2 linked regions of the Schizosaccharomyces pombe genome follow. The gene in region 2 interacts genetically with the main gene of each other region. Each region holds a gene or a part of one and is shown on either strand. Other genes may lie near its edges.

What was found. A genetic interaction does not mean that the proteins touch.
Region 1: mutations in nup61 (region 2) and mgr2 together harm fitness more than expected from each alone (negative genetic interaction), as found in Schizosaccharomyces pombe (one large-scale study listed by BioGRID).

Annotation. Positions count from the first base shown.
Region 1 is NC_003423.3:1,569,545-1,572,560, reverse strand, and holds mgr2 (protein Mgr2), read left to right. Parts: upstream 1-1,641; 5' UTR 1,642-1,708; coding exon 1,709-1,742; exon of another isoform or gene 1,743-1,785; coding exon 1,786-2,114; 3' UTR 2,115-2,357; downstream 2,358-3,016. Other genes in the region: sua1 (sulfate adenylyltransferase), read left to right, coding at 1-1,076; SPOM_SPBC27.05 (uncharacterized protein), read right to left, coding at 2,489-2,815; septation protein Uds1, read right to left, coding at 3,000-3,016. UniProt on the Schizosaccharomyces pombe protein: Required for cell viability in cells lacking mitochondrial DNA.
Region 2 is NC_003421.2:731,421-735,179, forward strand, and holds the start of nup61 (nucleoporin Nup61), read right to left. Parts: upstream 1,822-3,759; 5' UTR 1,802-1,821; coding exon 1,683-1,801; exon of another isoform or gene 1,631-1,682; coding exon 1,332-1,630; exon of another isoform or gene 1,284-1,331; coding exon 52-1,283; 3' UTR 1-51. Other genes in the region: ism1 (isoleucine--tRNA (Ile) ligase), read right to left, coding at 2,001-3,759. UniProt on the Schizosaccharomyces pombe protein: Functions as a component of the nuclear pore complex (NPC).

The DNA of each region.
Region 1 (3,016 bases), on a different chromosome or scaffold from region 2:
ATGATCGCGCCCACCCTGCCGTCGACTACTTGTTTGGTCGTGCTGGAAATGTGTATGTTGGTGGTAAACTTCAAGCCGTTACTCCTATTCGCCATTTCGATTTCGTAGAGTACCGCTACTCACCTGCTCAACTTCGCTCTGACTTCCAGCGTAACAACTGGAATCGCGTCGTTGCTTTCCAAACCCGTAATCCCATGCATCGCGCCCATCGTGAGCTTACCGTCCGTGCTGCTAAGCAACACGGTGCCCGTGTGCTCATTCACCCTGTCGTCGGTATGACCAAGCCTGGTGATATCGATCACTTCACCCGTGTGCGTGTTTACGAGGCTATTCTCCAACGCTATCCTAAGGGTTCCGCCAAGCTCTCTCTTCTTCCCTTAGCCATGCGTATGGCTGGTCCTCGTGAAGCTTTATGGCACGCCATCATTCGTAAGAACTACGGTGCTTCTCATTTCATCATTGGTCGTGATCATGCTGGTCCTGGTAAGAACAGTCAAGGCGAGGATTTTTATGGTCCTTACGATGCTCAGTACCTTGTTGAACAATACGCTCAGGAAATCGGTATCACCATTGTTCCTTTCCAAATGATGACTTACCTTCCTGATGAGGACATCTACAAGCCAGTTGACAAAGTCGAACCCGGTACCCGTACTTTGAACATCAGTGGTACTGAACTTCGTCGCCGTCTTCGCGTCGGTGCCAACATCCCTGAGTGGTTCTCTTATCCAGAGGTTGTCGCTATTTTACGTCAATCCTATCCTCCCAAATACTCTCAAGGATTTGTTTTGGCTGTTCCTGCCACCTCCGATAAACTTCTCCCCAGCGCTCTAGTTTCAGCCTTGAACGAGGATGGTCGCCGCCATGTCACTCTTTTACCTCGCTTAGATGCTATTTCAGTGTTTTACGCCCAAGAATTGCAACGTGCTGGTGCTGCCGTTGTTGTTTCTCTGGCTGATGCTGATGCATCTGTTAAAGTACCTGCTGAGTGGACTACCGTAAACATCAAGCCCAAAGACTCTGTTTCTGAGGTTACTTTTGCTGTCCTTTCACAATTGTCTGACGAAGGCTATCTTTAAAATAATGTTTTTTGACATATATATATATATATATATATACATATATCCATTTTTGTTCTTTTATGTTCTACTTGTCTATTAAATAATAAAATAATTGCTGCAGGAATGACAACACTCCCTCATTAGAACTTTGCCATTTGTAGATGTAACTAAGAATGCAACTCAATTAAATTTCGCTAAGGACATGTTAGTAATTAATTAGCGATAGGCTTCTTAATAACAAAAGGTAGGAAATTCAATCCGAAGCCGAGGGGAATTAATTTATTATATATGTCAGATATACATAGCAGACTTTAGCAATTGCAATACATGCCAATGCAATGTTTTATTTTAATTCAGAAGTCATTATAACGTTAAGCCTATGCTCTCACTTAACGCATGCCTGGATGTAATACATTGTTACATTTACTTAAAAAAACTGGGCTTATAAAAAATATATATATAGGTTTTCTTTAAATTAACATTTCCTAAACTAAACTATTGATTTAACAAAAGAAATTGTTACATCTATTGTTATACCTAGGTATCCAATATAATAACTGTATACTACCTTACTTTTCCTACCAACAAAATCCCCCTTGAAACTAGTGCTCTCTATTTCTAAATAAAAGTAAGACCTTTAACTACTCAAAATGCAATCTATGCAACCTTCAACTGTGGATAAGCGTAAGTTCTATATTGTATGAATTCAGTCATTAACACTGAACAGTAAAAATGGGCGCCATTATGGGTTCAGCTGCTGGACTTGGCATCGGGTTTTTATTTGGAGGAGTAGCAGTTTTGCGCTATGGGCCTGGTCCACGTGGATTCTTAAGGACCTTAGGTCAATACATGTTAACATCTGCGGCCACTTTTGGCTTTTTCATGTCCATCGGCTCTGTAATTCGCAACGAAGATATACCACTAATACAGCAGTCAGGCTCACATTGGAATCAAAGATTATTAAATGAAAATGCAAATTCCAGTCGTATTTTTGCCTTGGCTATGCAACAGGCCAAAAGTTCTCCACGTAAATCAAATGAAGTTGCTGAGTGCTAATTTCGTTTAATCCGATTATAATAAAAGTATCATACTATCATTTTGTTAGTATATGAGGTACAATATTTGTTTCTCCTGAATTCTGAGTTAAAGATGTACTGATGATTGTACTATCATGCATTTAAACTAAAAAGCTTTGGCCGCTACATCAAAGGACTTTTGCATTTTTCTGATAGTTCATGTTTAAAAAAGTCTTTATACCATATTGTTAATATTTTGATGGCGATTTAATTTTCCTTAAAATTTTTACGATTTAAAGATTTGGGTAATTTGCTAGGTGGTAAATTGGTAAATTAGTTTGTTTCGATGAATAATATTTGTAGCAATAGTTACAAAAAATGATCGAAGACAAGCTATTACAAATAAGCTAATTATTATTTGATCATAAAGATATTTAGAAACAATACTTGTGCCTTAAAACTTGCAATATCAATAATGCTTGTCATAAGGAAGATTCGGTTACATATGGGTTGAAGATACATATGCTCATTAGTATTATTAAATGTATTATATATGCTTGATGTTATCACTTCTTTAGATGCTAATTGTAATGTAAATGCGTCTGTTGTCTCTTTTTGTACACGCATTATTAGTTGGTATCTTATATAAAACTTCGATTCAATCTCCAACTGGTAAAGCAAAATGCAATTAATGCCAGAATAAAATAAATATGCAAGTCCATAAACCGTTGTATGCACCATTCATAAGCAGAATTTACTGCGTTCATAAAGTTGCGAAAGCATAGTCTTCAAAATCTTTCGTTTGCTTCTTAGCCAAAATTCAAAAAAAAACTTGAAAGCACCTGCAAAAAGGTCCAAGAAGGAAAAAAGTTTATAATCGGAACATCTTCCTTATACAGCTGCAAATTTAGAAGATCGTATTTGGTTATGCTGCAGAAGTAG
Region 2 (3,759 bases):
TAATAGACCAAAAATAAAGGAATAAATAGTGACTGAATCAATCACTGCTTTCTAGTTCTCTGACTTTGAGACCTTTTTCTCATTCAATTCGGCTAATAACTTTTCCGCAGTACTAGGCTCTTTCACACGAATCAAATACATTTCAATTGATTTTCCATCAGTAGAAGCAGCAGGTACTTTTACGTCCTTTTTACCAGCCAGGCTGTATTCAAAATCCTGGCACAAACGAACGTTTAACAAAAGTTTTCCACTTCCCTCGACACGCGCAAGGATGCGAGCAGAGCCAGTGTCACGATCTACGTTAATTTTTAATGGACCAATCCCGATATCAGAATAAGATTTACTAGTAGCATCGAAACGGTATATCTTGGCCCTTGTCTCAAATACGCTGTCTTCATTTTCTTCGCCTTTTCCTTTACCAGAAACTAGAGAATCATTCGATCGAGTTTCATCATTTCCGTTTTCCTTTTCTTCTTGCTCTGATTTGTTTCCATTAGAAGTTTCTTCACTTTTTTCAGCGCCAACAGAAGCTGGAGTAGAAGAAGTAGGAAAAGAAGATTTCGGAGCAGCAAAAGAGAACGGATTAGTAGTAGTTCCAAATGAAAAGCCGACAGCCGCAGCGCTAGGAGGCTTCACATCCGAAGAGGCCGGTAACTTTTTGCTCGATAATGGATTGGTAAATGTAAATTTTTTCTCAGGTGTGTCAAATTTGATAGGCTTATCAGGAGTCCAAGAAAAACTCATAGTATTTCCCTTGGCAGGTTCAACGGCGTTCTCGGATTTTTCATTGTTCGAGGGTTTAGATTCTTCGCTCTTTGAATCTTTAGTTTCATGGGTTTGTTTGGTCTCTTTTGAAGCATCCGCAGAAGCCATAGTCGTTGAGAAAGAAAACACGGGAGTTAATGGTTTTGATTCCTCATTTTCCTTCTTAGCGAAAGCGAAAGGATTAGCGGCAGTATTGAATGAAAACTGGTTGGTTGTGGTAGCGGCAGTACCAGTGGCAGTTTGATTAGAAGATGTTTCTTTCTCCTTCGCTTCCGCTTCTGTTGCGGACTTCTCACCAAATGACCCTTTAGGAGTAAAAGCCGATGAATTAAACTGGAAAGAGCTACCAAGCGCTGGAGCAGAAAATCCGAACCTAGGAGCACCGGGGGGAACAAGGGGCTTCTCCTTATCCTCTTTTTCTGAAGAAGCTGGTTTTTCTGTAACAAAAGAAGAAGAATCTTGGCTTTTTTGTTGCTGAGGATTTACCTCAGACACAACAGCATTTGAAGTTGGTTGTTCTAAGAAAACGTTAGAAAGAAATGAAGTACTAACTATAAACGCATTACCTTCTGCTGGCTTTTTTTCTATACTTGAAAAATGCTGCCTGTATTCATCAAACAGAGGGCTCAAATTACCAAAGGGATTATTGTCAACACTTTTGATAACAGCGTCAATAAATGATTTATTAAGACCGCGTTTTTTCAAGTGAATATCTGAATCATTATTAGCTGTAACCGCGGGTTTTCCAAATGTAAATTGCGTAGTCGATGCAGGTAAAGACACCGGTTTTGCTGCCAAATTTGCAAAAATTCCCGGAGAAGAAACACCGCTCGTTGGTCTTTTTCTAGATTTTGGCTTTGCAATTCTAATACATTAGTACCTAAAAAATTGAAGAACTATGTTTCATCGTTACATACTTTCTTGTGGCCATCACGTCTGCGGAGGCCTCCTTAGGAACTTCAACTGGACCATGACGGTCATCATCAGAATCATCTTGATCCTTAGTTAACTGATGATCAGCACCGCGTTTTGACATTTTGCTAGTTTGCGAAGGTCAACTGTTAGCCCCAAAACCACCCAAACTTATGGCCTTCACTATGTCTCCTTATTTACTAATGTTACAGTAAAATAAAATAATACAAAAAATGAATTGTCGCTTGATTTTAATTAAGTATTACAAAAATAAATGACTATGGTACAAAAATTATCATAATAAAGAGCGTTCAGCTTTTTTCTTAGCGTTTCAGTTGGGCCAAAACAGATTCGCATCTGTCACATAATCCGTCCTCATGAGCTGTATGCATCCAGCAACGTAGACATTTTTGTTGATTTGAAAAAAATAAAGAGATATTTGCAACCCCATAATCCAACTGAACTTCAGGTTGTGTAACGGAAGCTAATTTCAGATTTTCGGGAATTTCGTTAATAAATACCTTCGATGTATTGAACAGAAAAGGAAGGTCGGAAGAGTAATTTTTTAAAAAACTCAATAAAGATTGAGATTTTGACTTAATAACGACATAAGCTTCTAATGAGTTTTTAATAGTTAGATTTTCACGAGCTGCGGTAATCAACAAATTAATACTATACTTAAGTTGTTGAAGAACCAAGTATTCCTTAATTAAAAATTTTCTATCAAGTAAATCAACTTTTGACCTTAAGCTGCTTATAAGATGTGTTTCTCCAGCGTGAAAAGGAGTTTGGTAAGAAGAATTCAAATAACTATCGGGTAAGCTTTGCCAAATCTCCTGTGCCAAAAGTGGAGTAATGGGAGAAATGGCCCAAATGAGCGTAAGTAATGAATGATAAAGGACAGTTTGAACACTTCTCCTAGATACACTGTTGGGTAAATCAGCGTACAGACGATCCTTTACGGCGTCAAAGTATGTAGAGGATAAGAAAGAGTTCATAAAATAATTGAGATGATGAACAACTTTGTTAATTGAATATGATTCATAAAGTTCTCGAATTTCAGTCTGAAATTTATCTAGTTGGACTAAAGCCAACTTATCAATACCACGTAATTCACCAACATCAACTGAGCTCGAGGTATTCCAGTCATGTAAGTTCCCAAGACAAAATCGGGATGTTAATCTCCACTTTTTTAAGGATTCACCAACTTGCGTCAAAATGTTCGGTCCCAGGTTAGTATCATTCGTACTGTCACATGATGCAACCCAAAGTCTCAGTAAATCAACACCATATGGAAGCTTTTTTCCTTTTAAAAGCTTTCCGTTTATTACATCTTCAGGGTCGGTTACATTGCCCAAAGACTTGGATTGTTTCTGACCTCTTTCATCAAAGATAAATCCGTGCGTAAACAAAGTAGAAAACGGTGCTTCTGGTTTTGATTGGTAGGCAGTGTATGTGAGAAGAAGTGACTGAAACCATCCCCTGTGTTGATCGCTTCCTTCCAAGCAAAGGTCAATGAGCGGTTTATTCTTACGAGGTGCTATTGTAGTCCAACTAGTCCCAGAATCAAACCATACATCAAGTGTTTCAGTGCCACGAATATACTCCTTATTTCTGTAATCCGGATGAACCCACTGAGCATGCCCATTGTTTTCAGTATCATTAAACCAAGAATCAACTCCCTCTACTTCCATTTTCTCAATGATATAGGATACACTTTTCACAGTTAGTAGGGGGATTTTAGTTCCTTTCTCATACAATACAGGAATGGGTAAACCCCATGCCCGTTGGCGAGAAATGCACCATTCAGGACGGCCATTCAAAAAACCAAGAAGTCTGGCGCGCGAATTTGGAGGAATCATTTTTACACTATCAAGTGCTTTTATGGCAGTTTTCCTTTCATTCTCCAATGATATAAACCATTGAGGGGTCGCCCGTAAAATTAATGGCTTATGTGTTCGCCAATCGTAAGGGTAGCGGTGCTTATAAGGAGAGACCTTAACAATCATATTTTGATTTTTCATAATACTTATTACTTTCTTTCCTCCATCACCAAGAACTTCCAATCCTTCAAGGCTTCCA